Linked DNA regions of Rattus norvegicus. The protein of the gene in region 1 interacts with the protein of each later gene in a pairwise test. Links are inferred from orthologs where the notes say so. Each region holds a gene or a part of one and is shown on either strand. Other genes may lie near its edges.

Region 1 (4,516 bases):
CAGTAGACCCCAGCCTCCCACCAAGCCAGCTTTCTGCCACCTGTCCTTCCCTGGTTCAGAAACAGAGCTGGGGGAGGGGAGGGCAAGAAGCTAGACTGGGCTGGTGAGGTTTTCCTAGGGAAAGCAGGCAAGACCTTCACCTGTTGTTCTCCAGCAGAGCCTCCAGGACCCCTTTCCCTGTGGGAGTGGAGATCTGAGTGGGCTGATTGTCATCTTAGCCTGGCTTTTGTTCCCTTGGCCCATTTGTCTGTGTGTATGTGGGGTGCATTGTTGGCGACATGGAGAATGAGAACAGAGGGAGGGCTGGCTGGCTACTATGTTGCCTTATATGCTCTTTGAGGAGAACTGAGGATCACGAGATAGGCAGAAGACATGGTATGACAGGCCCTCTCCACCGGGGTAAATGAGCATGCGCAAAGAGCAGCAGAGTTTACGTGTGTTGTGGTAAAGGACTAAAAGCCCCATGACAGAAATGATTAGGAAGAGGCAAGGACCCACAGGAGGGTAGCTTCGAGCAGCGAGGCCTCTTAGGGTCCCAAAAGCCAGGAAGGCAGACCTCAAGTCTTTCTGCAACAGGAGAGTGAGGACTCGAGAAAGCTGCACGTAGATTAAAGTAGGCAGAAGGCCAGTTTGCAGAGAAAGACCAGAAGTCCTTCCCTACCCAGGCTCACGTTTCAGAGCATTCCAGGGGGAAAGCCAGGGGTGGTCTATACTCAGTGGGATGGAAATGACCAGTAGAAGGGTAATTAGCACCTCCGAGTTTTTCTGTTTGCTTTTCTAGCCTTCACCAATTCTTCTGAGTGCTGTTTCTCTTTCTAACTATCTGTCCCTAGTTGCTCCCCCACCCTCTGGGGACAGACTTCAAATGCCCAGGCTGGTAACATTCCCCTAGACCATCCCCATCCCACACTGAACACAGCCTAGGCACTACAGACAAGGGCTTGCCCCTGTGAGGTCAGGCGGAGCTCAGTCCTGGCATGGGTTACCACACAGCCAGGGACAAGACAGGTCTCTCATTTGCACAGGAGCTCACTTTCCAAATATTCATCAGATGGTTTCTGTTTGCAGACCCAGACCCAGTCCTACCTCAGTTTTCCCAGCTACTTACACCACCACGTAGGGCCACGGTTCAGAGCTATCCTTGCAGGTAGGAAGGTTGGTAGCTCCATACAGAGTGACCATGACAGTCTCCTTATTACAGGGAGCCAGGTAGTTGGTGTCAGGATATGGGTCCAGAGAGGTATCCAGGCGGTCCTGTGGTTCTTCAGGAACCTGTGGGGAAAGCCAGGGCTAAGTGGACTCTTTTGATGGAGTATTTCTCTTTACTGTTACTGGTAACTTCTACCAGGTGGGTCAAAACTTTCCATGGTATAATTTACAAAACAAAACAGAAATCATGAAGAAATTTCATAAAAACTGGTGTGGTGGTGCACACCAGCCCTCAAGAGGCAGGAGCATTGGAAGGACCAGAAGTTCAGGGTCATCTTTGGCTCCTCCGGTTTGAGGCCAGCCTGGGCTACACGAGACCTTGTTACAAAACTACAGACGTGTCAGTGAGTTAGCTCAACCTTTGCTGTGTGAGCCTGATGGCGAGAATTGGATTGTGGGAACCCATGGTGGGAAGTTAATACTTCTAAAAATGTTTTCTCTGGTCTCCACACGCACGCCGTGGCACGCACGCTCTTGCACTCACCCACACGTATACAATAATAGTAAATAAAATAAAAATGATATGATTGGAAAATACAAGGTTTACATTTCAGATAAGCCTATGACTTTGTGTTTAGCTGTGTTCACAGACAGTCTTGCCTGCAGGAGTCTGGATGTGGCCCAGGGCTAGTGGCTGGATAGGCCCGACTGACCAGTACCTTTTCCTCTCTGTAACATTACCTGCTCCCCCAACTACAGAACAGTAGCCTAGGAAGCCATTTTCTCTCTACTTCTGTACTTCTCTCTACCTCTTGCTTCTTCCTTAGCCTTTGGTGTGCCCCCGTGTGCAGCAGAAGTCAGCCCACCTTAGTTTGTAAGCAATCTGTCTGTCCTCCGGTTTCTGCTCCTGCTTTTACCTCTGTAACTCCTCCGTGCCACATGCTCCTCAGGTCCTAGTGACCTCTACCTTTCTTCTTTCCTATATCTTTACCTTAGACCACCTCTGTCATCTCACATATGGGGACTGGGACCTGACATGATGCACCACTCTGCCCCGCCCTCCTGACTCCTAGCATGGGAAGAGAAGGCAGCATGGCTTAGCCCAGGTACATCTAGGAATGCTACTTCATTCAGATTCTCAGGACCATTGTACTGCATGGTGAGCGCAGCAGAAGCCAGGCTCCCTTAATCGTCCTAGCAGCCCTTCCCCACCTCAGCCTTTGTCTGGTATTTTCATCACCTGGGCAGAAATTTCCAAAAGATTTCAAACTCCACATCCCCTGACCCATCCCTCACGTGCTGCAGACTGTGGTCCCTGCCTAACAAGTTGTCTCATTAGGAGGTGAGAACAGGGCTTCCCAGCCCTAGATGTGCCAGCTCTGTAGAGACTTCTCCCCTTCCTATGACTGAGGATTAAACCTGCTCCCTCCCCCAACAGGACCCAGCAGGGCCTGTCACCATCTGCAGAGGTGTTGATGAGAGTTAACTCCCCCCCCCACACACACACATGGCAAGGGTAGGGGGAAGGGAGGGGGGAGCCCTGCTAGTGGAGGAGGGGAGCATTCACAGACCAATGCCTCTCCTAGATCAGAGGACTTCTTCTAGTGTACTAGCCCACATAACCAGAGGTCGCCTAGCAGGTTTGTTTTCCTGTTCTGGTACAGGAGTGACAGCAGCTGACAAGCCAGGAGGCTCCTCTGTCCCTTCTGAGATGCGCCGGCACAGAGCCGTTTCCCTGCACTCCGGTGGGAGCATCTAGAATGATTTCTGATTCAGCTTTTCCAGGACTTGGTGTGACTAAAGTTCTCTGAAGTTAGACTAGGAGAGGTAACTGATGTCCCTTGTACTGCCAGATGGACACCCTTGCCACTGCGAGGGCGCAAGCCTACCGTGGCACTCTAGGGGGGGCGGGGGTTACAGAAGCGAAGGTCCCTTAGCATGATCGTTGTCTATGGGCTTCCCTGCCTCCTTGGCAGCTCTGGAGGCCACCAGGCCTCTGCCAGGTCCTCCGATTGGATCTCTTCCTTCCCCGTCTCCTCCCTTTCAGGACAGATTTCCAGGAAACATAGCTTGGAGAGAGTTGGGTAGGGACACTTGTGCTTCACTTGTGTGCTTGAGGCCAGCTGTTAGTCAGGTACCTCTTGAAGCCTGTAGGCATGTACCCCATGGATGTACTGGGTGGGGGTCCAAGGTGTGGGTTGTAGAGGGGACAGGCAGTGAGCCAGGGCACCTTTGCCTCTGTCCTTGCTCGTGGGTCCCTGCATCAGGACCAATGTGTTCTGCTGCCTCTGCCCCTGGTCACATGGAAGAATTTGTGAAGGAATAGGATATGTATCTACCGATGCCGACACCTATACCTACGTATACTAGGTTACAAGGTGAGGAGAGGAGCTGGGGCTGGACAGATGGCTCAGTGGTTAAGAGCACTGACTGCTCTTCCAGAAGTCCTGAGTTCAATTCCCAGCAACCACATGGTGGCTCACAACCATCTGTAATGGGATCTGATGCCCTCTTCTGGTGTGCATGAAAGCGGCAGCTACAGTGTACTCACATACATACAATAAATAAATCTTAACACAACAACAACAACAACAGCAACAACAACAGCAACAACAACAACAACAACAACAAAACAGAAAACAAGGTGAGGAGAAAACTGAGTGAAGGTGCTGACCCTGGGCAGAGAAGCTTCAGAATCTTCTTCCATGAAAGCAGAGCTCTATGCTCACCACAGCTCTCAGGCCCTGCTCTTGCTCACCCATGCAATGACTGTAGACAGCAGGCTAGTGGTAAGCTCAAAGCCTGCCCATTTCCAAGCAGAGTTCCTTTGGCCACCCCTTAGGATTTGGGCTCTAGGCAGGCTTGAAAACTGCTGATCTCAGCGCATCATGGTGTCCTTGGGAATCCCAGAATGTTCTTTGCTTGGGTCAGCATTGGATGTGTGAGGGAGCATGAGAGCAGGAAGGGAGGAGCAGCAGACAAGCCAAGGCTCACAGAGGTGGGGGTGGAGAGGGAGGTACAGGGAGTGGGCTTCTGGCAGAGACCAGGATGAAACCAGACTCTTCTCCCATTCTATTCCCTCTTCCCAGAAACCCGGGAAGCAACAGGAAGCTATGAAGCCCAGATCTCTCCTCTAGAAGGGTCCACATCTGAAAACATACCAGCTAGAGGAGGCCACATTGAGTCTTCCAGAGGGATGTTGGGCTGAGAGGGTCTGGTGACTCCGATGTGCCATTTGGGCAAATTTTTAGACTCCGGTGGATGCTGGGCTTAAAAACTGCTCTCTCAGGCCAGTGTGATGGCTCACCAGGTAAAAGTTCTTGCCGCACAGGCCTGCTAACTTGTGATGGATCCTATAAACTACATA
Region 2 (4,516 bases), on another chromosome or scaffold:
AATGAAAACCAGACATGCAGAGTCTCCCAGACACTCTTGTGGACAAGGAACCATTTATAGTCAGTAAAGACTCCCTCAATTTGGGAGAGTTTTGACCCAGTGGATGTAGGGGTAGGTCCTGGATATCAGAACTGTTAACCTTGTGTGATGCTAAAATCACCACTCCTGCCTGGTTCTAGATAAGGAAACTGAATCCCAGAGGGACGTAGCCAGCCAGTTTCCTGCAAATCCCATACCATCACAGTGGTGACAATGCCAGCACTATCTTGATTGTTTCTGGGCTTTCCCTGGCCCCATCACCTTTCACTCCTGCTTTTCCCTGACACCCATGCCTTCAAATACATTGTGTATTAGACTCAATCATATGTACTCTCCAACCCACAACACCCCTCTCCCCACAAAGCAAAGCTTGTCTCTTTGTAGGCAGCTGCTCAGTAGGCAGTTCTGGCAAGCTGGGAGCTCTTTAGTTCCTTGTGACATTATGGGACACACTTGCCTATCTCTCTGGTAAGTAACCTGAGGCCATTCTGCTTCACACTGCTCAGTGCTACTAGTATGATACTCAAGCCCACCCTGATGACCTTGACTACAGGGCTATCTTAAAGCAAAGACTGGGAAGCTCAGAGAGTATCTGGATCACACAGGCAGAGTCCTAGGCCTGGTTCCAAAGTTGGTCTGAGCTTGTCACAACTGTCACGGTCAACTGTTGGGCACTTACTGTGCGGCTATGGATGCCTAAGCTCATGTGCTAGCTCAACAGGCCTCCACAGCAGCCTTATCACATGCCTGGTAGAAAAGGGTACGGTACCTGGAGTGGAGTGAAGGCCACACTAGAGGCAGTCCCCGAGGAGCGGTCACGAATTGTTGACTTCCCACCATACACCACACTCTGTTTCTGTAAGGTCCGCTGTAAGGGAAAGAAGAGGCTGTGATTCAAGCTTACTGACCTCCATGTCCCATTTGCCTCCCATTCTCATGGGCCCAGATCATACCTGTAGTGTCTTGGAGATCCTAGCCTTGGTGGCCTCATTCACCTGTGTCTGCCGCACACGCCCACTGCCTGACTTGCCCAAGTGGCCCAGGCTAAAGCCCAGGTCTTCTTGATAGGCATCCTCCTCAATCTGGTGAGATAGGAGTAACCTGCTGTTAAGAAGCTAGGTATATTCAGCCGTACCCTGGGGCAGTCCACTGAGAACCCACAGATTCTCCAATCAGCCAGTCTCATGGGCATCACCTCATTAGCCAGGCTGCACTAAATAATCTTTTAAGAGCCTACCCTAACTCTGCTTGGGTATAGCTAGGAACCCTGGGAAGAACTAGTTCCTGACCTGAGTAGAGTAGTCATTTTTTTCTCTACATTCAGATTAGGTTGCCAAGAATTGGGATGAGCTGCACTACTAAGGTAGCACCTACATTTATTCTTTCAGGACCACCTAGATGATAGATATAGATGCAGCCTGGGAAGCTGCAAAGATCACCATGGAGGTGGTTTGAGAGGAGAGGCCAGTCAGGATGGAGGAGGCTAGGGTAGCCCTAGATCTGCTGTTGGATTACAGGGTAGAGAGGAGGGATAGCAGCAGGATGTGCAAAGAGAAGATCCTACAAGGTCCTATTGGTGCTATGGATGGAACCTGACCTCTCCAAAGCTCATGCGGTTGGCCTGCTTCCGGATCTCAGTCAGTCCTAGCCGTTCTTTCATCTTGCGGTACCTAGGGTAAGGTGGGTATCAACAGGATATAGGCAGTTGGCTGGGAAGAAGTTTCCCTTTCCCAACTCCAAACATCAAACTCCTTACCTTCGGCCCCCTCGCTTCTTCCGCTGCCCATCAAGGGGTGCAGGCAGGGGCTTCACCTGCTTCACAGGTGGTGGCTCCTGCCACTTGTCAAACTTGCGCTCAATCTCGTCCTTTAGTTCATAGCCCACCTAGCAGGGAGTTGAGAAGCTGTGGCCAGCAATGTAGACTGTCCCCTCAGCTGCACATCTACGTATCATCAACCCATTTACTGTATATCTGACCACCTGATGGTGTACCCTCCCAAAGACATGTTCTCCCTTTCTCCAGGAATGGTATCCTGTGGGTTCCAGTGTCTACTGCTCTTGAACTTGTAGCTTAGCCTTCACATCTAAGCTCTGCACCCTCTGGAAAATTTCCTCTGCCTGAGTTCTTCAAACATAAATGGGCCAGGCAGAATCCCCATATCCCTAGTCAACAGACAGAATGTCATCTCCACTGTCTTACTACCACACTACTGATCCCCTGGCCTCTTAGAGCAGGTCCCAGCTAGCTTGCTTTCCAGTACCTCCACAGCAGCCAGAGGCCTCCAGAGGTTGTACATATCTGCTCCTGGGTACAGCAAGTTCCTCTCCCTGCTGGGTTTCACCAAACTCTGGCCTCAGGTTCTTTGCACTCACTATTCCCGCTGTCTGGAACACTCTTCCAAGTAGATAGCACAAGTATCCACAGAACTGACTGTAACTTCACACAGGCCCATACTAAAATTTCCTCAAAGCTCTTCTTCACATCCTAAGTCAGTCAAAATCTAAGCTTCCTCACCCCACAATTCCCCTTATTGTCCCTGGTATTCACACAGCACTACTGAACCCACTACAGGTTCTTTTCAGGACTACTGCCTTGTTTTGGTCCCAACTAGAACATAAATGCTGTGTAACCACTGACCTCCATTCCTAGCTACCAGGGAAGCTGGGGCAGGAGGATCAAAAATCCTTCAAAGCTTTCCTGGACTAGAGATGAGACCTGTCTTGAAAAGGGTGAGGGTGAGGGTGAGCTGAGGATGCAGCTCAGTGGTAGATCAGTTGTATAGTACGTGTAGAGTCCTAGGTTCAATCCCAGTATGCCCACCACAGACATATACAAGAGCCATGGAGGCAGACCTCTGACACCTATGTAATCCCCTGCTGTATGCTGCCTTGTTTAGAAAGTGGTAAAAGGCAAAAGAGACTAAACCCCTGACTTGGGCTATAATGTAATTTCTAGTAGGGAAATGCACACAACACTATTTCTTAAGCCTACCCAGAAAAACAGAAGGTATCACTGGAATCATGCCCCTGCTAGCACAGGACAGGTCCTACTGTAGTGGGCAAAACACTGTTCCCTCAAACACAGGGCTCCACCTTGGTGTCAGGTATCCTGGTCTCTAGAATTCGTGGCTACAGTTCACATGGCAGAGGATCTTTGCAGATGTGATTAAGGACTGAGATGTGACAGTACCTTGTATTGACAGTATGAGCTCAACAAAGGGCCCAAAACGAGCAGTCAGGGGCTGAAGGTGCTGCCTTGCCTAGTAAACTCTGATACAGACAGGGGCAGGAGTGTTTCTTCCCAGGAGCCTACAAATGGGAACTGCCCGTCTAACACCTAATGTTAGTCCAGTGAAACTGTGTACGTGCACATGCGTGCACCCACAAAACACCAAAGATTTGGTATCACATGGCTTCTACACTACCTCCTTACCTTATTTCTTGAGACAGGGTCTCTTCACTGAATCTGGAGCTTACTGATTTGGTTGAGAGGCCTACAAGCTCCAAATGTCCTCCCTCTTCCATCTTCCCAACAATGGGGTTAGTTAGTGGTATGTACTATTGGGCCTGTTTGTTTTTTAACAGGAGTACTAGGAATTGAACAAGTCTTCAACGCTTGCATGCAGGAACTTAAGTTATGGAGTCACATCTCTGGCTCTGTGCTTTTTCCTTTTTCAAAGACAAGATCTTACTATGCAGCCCAGTCTAGCCTGAAATTTATTATATAACCCAGACTGCCGAAAACTAGTGACCTTTCTGCCTCTGCCTCCCAAGTACTGATGTTAAAGATATGAGCTAGCAGGTCTACCAAACTTTTATATGTAGTTACTCCATCTACAGTGAGTTGTCATAGCTGTTCTATAACTGATAGACAGAGCTGAGAATGTGATGACCTTAGTTGGGGTTGAGACACACACTGCCGTCTGCTAGTCTGGACAGCTCTCTGAAGTAGCATCTTCCTATGAAAAGACCCCAAGCACAAGGAAAAGATCTTCTCCTCACCTTCCCCTCTGTGCTCTCATGGAAACTGTCCACACGAGCTGCCAGTGTACATTTGGCAGCCACTAGGCGGGCTGCCTTCCGCCGAAGATCCTAGAGCAATGGGAAGGGGAAAGGAAACTGAACCTCTAGCAAAGGTAACAGCCACTACAATAATCACTTCTCATCTAGGGCCAGCCATACCCCAGACTCTGGGAGGTAGGCCTTATGCCTGTGCGCTTTCCTAATAACTGCCTCTTGAGGGGTATGCTCTAGCTGCCCCTGGTTTCCAGCCACCCAACCATCCTCATTGCCAAGTGGCAGACCCAGAATAGTATCCTTGCTCTTCCAACCATGTTGCCTCATCCTCCAGGAGCCTGAGGGCTATTGCCAGCCAAGCCAGATAAGGCCTAGTGGCTGGGGCTAGGGGTCAAGGTGAAGTACTCACTGGGGGCAGAGACTGCACAATGTCACTGTGGTAGATGTAGCCAGTGTGAGG
Region 3 (5,039 bases), on another chromosome or scaffold:
CATCAAGGCCAGCCTAGAGCTGACCAGAGTATTCACTATCACTATCATTTAGAAAACCCATGGGTTGTAACCCCTCTAATAAACCTCTATCTCCAAAAATATTTACATTATGACTCATAAGAATAGCAAAAATTATCATTATAAAGTGGCAACAAAAATAATTTTATGATTGGGAGTCACTACAACATGAGTAACCGTTGTGGTCACAACAAGGGTCACAGCATTAGGAAGGTTGAGAATCACTGATTTAAGAGATCAGGCATCCCACACACCTTTTCTGCATGTACCCCCTCTTCTAGATGTCTCCAGTAAAGGGCAGCTTACACCTAGAGCCACATGACTTTTCGTAGAATATAATGGTCATGCTCACTCTTCAAGGCAACCTTTCTCTGATCCAGATCCTTAGTGAGCCTCCGTCAATTCCCATGGTTTACCTTTAGGCCAGCAGTTTGGAACCTCTGGGATACTATTCCTTTGGGTCTCACATATTAGATATCCTTCATATTAGATATTTATAATTTATAATAGCAAAATTACACTTATGAAGTACAACACAATAATTTTATGGTGGTGGTGGGGTCATCACAATATGAGGAACTGTATTAAAGGGTCGGCAGCATTAAGAAGGTTGAGAGATACTGCTCTAGGCTTTGCACACTGTCTAGGCCTCTAAGGTCACACCAAGCTTAGAGACTCTGCCAAAGAAGACTTCTCCCCTCAAAACTCCTCAGGGCCCAAGGTGGATGGAACAGTGAGTTAGGCAGGTACAAGGTGTACCCATCTACATGCATCACATAGCAGGCACCTTCTGATTGTGCCCATTGGCATGCCCTGGACCTTTGGAAAGCTGCTTGGTCCTACAGTGTTGGCGGCCTCTTGTCCCAGTGCTAGCCCCATTTCCTCCCGGATGGAACTAGGCGGCAGAGAGGACGGTGGGAATGGGCCTGTACAGGTGTGCAGGCCAGGGCCATGGAGCCTGTGAAGACCAGCGGAGATGGGTAGCGAGTGCCAGGGGTCTGTGGGTGGTTATGTAGGTGATGAGAGTCCTGTATGACAGCACTTGTGCACACAAAGAGCTCGCAACAGCGTCAGGCGCTGTGGAAAGGTTTGCTCTCAGGATTGGACTCTTCACATTGCTGTGGACCAGACTGTGGCTGAGAATCCTAGGCACTGGAAATCAGGATGAAGCCACAAAGGTGTGTAAGATTTCACAGCTTGGGAAATCACAAGCCAGTTTTGGTCCGCTGAGAACACTTGTCGCCCCTCTAGTACGTTGAGCTTTAGCACCCTCAGATAGCCTAGCTAGCCCCGCCCCTCAGCTGCCTAGCTCTCAAAGGAAGTCTCCGCTGCCCCAAAATCTCTCCCGCAAGCCCCTCCCTCTTCCTGTTCGAGTCAATCTCACACAAGTGTGACGTTTGTATTTGCCAGTCCAGCCTGCTAGACTGGTCTGTACTGGCCGCTCCGGCGGATTTGGGCCTGCCCTGAGGAGAGCGCGCAACCTGCGTAGCAGCGGCTGTGACGCAAACGTGACGGCGGCTTGACGCGCCCACAGCCGCTCTTGAGGCGCTGGCGCTTCCTCTGCTAGGCTCCGAGCTGTCTGTTTCTTGGGCCCTGTGTATAGGTGCCGGCCGCCCCTGGCGTTCAACACCGCTTCCAGGTGCCGGCCGTGTCTGCCATGGACGACTATGCGGTTTTGTCCGATACTGAGCTGGCCGCAGTGCTACGCCAGTACAACATCCCGCATGGGCCTATTGTGGGTATGCTGCAGCCGGTGGCGCTCAGAACCTCTCGGTCCCCCGCTTTCCCGCGCTCCTCCCTGAGCGTTCTTCCTACCTCCTCCTTCCCTCAGGTCCCCTCCCCGTGTTCCCTTGTGCTCTTGGGGTGCTCGGCTCGCACCCGCTGACCGCTTCGCACCCTGTGTCTGGGCAGGCTCCACTCGCAAGCTCTACGAAAAGAAAATCTTCGAGTACGAGACCCAGAGAAGGAGGCTTTCGCCCCCCAGCTCGTCATCGTCTTCATTCTCCTATCGGTTCTCAGGTGAGGCTCCAACTGCACAGCCCCAAAGAGCAGCTTGGGGCACAAGGCGCAGGGAGGGAGGGTGTGGCTGAAGCTACTGAGGGAGTAGGGGGAAGTCTGGAGATTGAAGGTCCTGTACCTTCTCCTCCACATGCAGACTTGGATTCAGCCTCCGTGGACTCAGACATGTATGATCTGCCCAAAAAGGAGGACGCCTTACTTTACCAGAGCAAGGGTAAGGCAGGTGTGGGATGGGCACTGATGTCTTTATCCCATGCTTCAGGGATTTGGGCACAGTGAAACTCCAGACCTCACCCCCTTGTACCAGTTCTCAGTGGCTTCAGAGAGAAGAAACTGGCACAGCACACACACAGACTGGGGGGGGGGGGCGGAAGGTGGCAAGAGGCCAGGTAAGGGGCACCACTTTTTCCTCTACCACTGTTTTCTTCCTCAAGACTATAATGATGACTACTATGAGGAGAGCTATTTGACTACCAGGACATACGGGGAGCCCGAGTCTGTGGGCATGTCCAAGAGCTTCCGCCGGCCAGGGACCTCACTTGTAGATGCTGATGATACCTTCCATCACCAGGTGAGTTGTCTGGTAGGCATACCTGGGGTGTATGTAGCCTTAGGGAATTCTAGGTTTGGATAGTTCAAGGAGATACTAGGTGCAGAGAGTGGATCTTAGGCCTTCAAGTATGGTTAGGATCAGCATACAGTTGTTGGCTCAAAAGTTCTACGTTGGAACCTCCAAAACTATTAGATTTGGGGATGAGCATATATAGCTCAGTAGAAGAGCATTTACCTATGGTTTCATCTCCAGCATCCAGCAGCACACACAAATGTTTTTGGGGTTTTGGCATTTTTAAAAATTTAATTACTTTAATTATACCTATGTGTAGCCAATTTTTTGTTAGTTTGTGGGTTCCCCTCACCCTTTCACCCCCAATCATTAGATAGAGAAAGAGAGCTAAAGATCCCTGAATCTAATTTCTTTCTTCCTTGTGTCTTCTTTGACCCCAGCTACTAGCAAACTGTAACCAACCTCACCTATTGGGGCTCTAGTATTTACATACCCTCTGAAAAATTCCCAGAATTCCAAATACCACAAAATTGCAGAAACTATCTGCAACTCAAAAGCATGAAGCAAATCATAGCTGCTGTAAAACAGCCCCATATCCCACATCTAGGGTTAAAATAAAAACATTCTTATAATATTTCTGTGTTTCTTAAGCCAAATTTCAAGAATTCTCACTACATGTATGTGTCTGTGGGTAGTATGCATGAGTGCTGGTGCCTACAGATGCCAGAATTGTCAGATTTCCCCTTAGATTCCCCTTAGAGCTAGAATGGCAAGTAGTTGTAAACTGCCTGATGTGAGTGCTGGAAAATGACCTTAGGTACCTAGGAAGAACAATAGGTGCTTTTAACCACTGAGGCATCTCTGCAGCCCACAAACTTTTATGATCTGAGCATATATAACAGCACCTGTACTCTAGGATGTAGGTTTAAGCCTCCTGAGAATCCTGGGGAATAAAAGGATGGTGGGACAAAGTTGACAAGGTTTGTAACTGGGTGGCAAGGCCCCACAGTTAAAGAGGGCATGGACCCAGAATGATGGGGGGGCAATTTTCTGCCCCCTACAATGTGACTAGAGTAGGCTAGCCAGAGACATTTGGGGAAACCATTCTTTCCCATTTCTAATCCTAATTATCCGGCAGGTGCGTGATGACATTTTCTCTTCTTCAGAAGAGGAAGGCAAGGATAGGTGAGTAGTGAACACATGTAGGGACAGGGACAAGTTTGACACTCAGACTCTCCTGCCTACCTGTCCCCTTCTTTTGCTACAGGGAACGCCCCATCTATGGCCGAGACAGTGCCTACCAGAGCATCGCACACTACCGCCCCATTTCCAATGTCTCCAGGAGCTCCCTGGGCTTATCATATTATCCTACATCCTCCACCTCTTCTGTGTCCTCCTCTTCATCTTCTCCCTCTTCATGGCTTACCCGACGTGCCATTCGACCAGAAAAGCAGGCCCCTACTGCTGCTCTGGGCCAGGATCGACAGGTCCCACTCTGGGGCCAGCTGTTACTCTTCCTGGCCTTTGCTGCCTTTCTGCTCTTTGTTTACTATTCCATACAAGCTGAAGAAGGCAACCCCTTCTGGATGGATCCCTAAGGGTATTGGTTTCAGAGCAGCTCTTAACAGGAGTTTTGGCTGACTGCCTTAGCAGTGTTTGCTGGGGGTGGGGGGTAGGGGCTTTTTTGTGTATTCTAGTTAGAGGGTACAGGGCCTAGCCTACGGCAGTGCTTGTCTCCACCTCATCTTGCCAAGGAAGCAGCAAATGCTGGCTTTCCACAGCCCAGTAGGCCCGTATGTACCTTCCTCTGGAGCCTCCTAGCCTTATTGCCTCTGACTCTTAGGGTATGGGGATCTGGTGGGGAGGACCTCACTTCATTAGAGGAAAACTTGGTGGTGGCAGTGGTAGTTGTCATGCATGCCTGTTTGTTGTCACCTTTTCAGGGGGTATTAACAAGGCCATCCTGGCTTTGCTTTCGTGGACACAATAATAAACATGTTTATTTTTACCTTGTTGTTTCTTCCTACTGGGATGGGAGCTGGGCTGCCATGGCACACAGGTGCTTGGTTTTAGGTCTCAATAATCAGTGTGGCTTTTCCCTTTGGTTGTGCTTGGTCTTGGGGAAGGAATCAAATGCTACCCATAGATAAGTCTATGTTTTAGTTGTGGGTTTTATTTCTGGGCCAACTCCCTGAAATACTTATTATAACCACTTAGAAAAATAACTACCATGTAATTAAATGTGTAGATAAGCCTATGGGAAATGTAGGCAAAACTGCATATATGATCATATATGCAGATACTTTAGTCAGGAGAGGCTAACACCAACATCTGAGGTTACCAGGATAGAAAAGATATGAGGCATCATGCCAGTACATTGTTCAGCTCCTGGGATTGGTGGCATGATAATAAGATTCAAAGGCTACAGTGCACCCAT

Evidence for each region.
Region 2: the proteins of Ccdc33 (region 1) and Prpf31 interact in binary tests that used the Homo sapiens proteins (3 or more experiments, as listed by UniProt). The two-hybrid records come from large-scale screens. The link is inferred for Rattus norvegicus from reciprocal best matches to the Homo sapiens genes CCDC33 and PRPF31.
Region 3: the proteins of Ccdc33 (region 1) and Emd interact in binary tests that used the Homo sapiens proteins (3 or more experiments, as listed by UniProt). The two-hybrid records come from large-scale screens. The link is inferred for Rattus norvegicus from reciprocal best matches to the Homo sapiens genes CCDC33 and EMD.

What each region holds. Positions count from the first base shown.
Region 1 is NC_086026.1:67,406,204-67,410,719, forward strand, and holds part of Ccdc33 (coiled-coil domain-containing protein 33), read right to left. Parts: intron 1,273-4,516; coding exon 1,109-1,272; intron 1-1,108.
Region 2 is NC_086019.1:74,492,252-74,496,767, forward strand, and holds part of Prpf31 (U4/U6 small nuclear ribonucleoprotein Prp31), read right to left. Parts: coding exon 4,466-4,516; intron 4,132-4,465; coding exon 4,042-4,131; intron 1,924-4,041; coding exon 1,796-1,923; intron 1,710-1,795; coding exon 1,637-1,709; intron 1,122-1,636; coding exon 993-1,121; intron 908-992; coding exon 809-907; intron 1-808. UniProt on the Homo sapiens protein: Involved in pre-mRNA splicing as component of the spliceosome. Required for the assembly of the U4/U5/U6 tri-snRNP complex, one of the building blocks of the spliceosome.
Region 3 is NC_086039.1:157,188,870-157,193,908, forward strand, and holds Emd (emerin), read left to right. Parts: upstream 1-1,568; 5' UTR 1,569-1,675; coding exon 1,676-1,757; intron 1,758-1,849; exon of another isoform or gene 1,850-1,929; coding exon 1,930-2,037; intron 2,038-2,173; coding exon 2,174-2,251; intron 2,252-2,471; coding exon 2,472-2,608; intron 2,609-3,740; coding exon 3,741-3,787; intron 3,788-3,869; coding exon 3,870-4,200; 3' UTR 4,201-4,580; downstream 4,581-5,039. UniProt on the Homo sapiens protein: Stabilizes and promotes the formation of a nuclear actin cortical network. Stimulates actin polymerization in vitro by binding and stabilizing the pointed end of growing filaments. Inhibits beta-catenin activity by preventing its accumulation in the nucleus.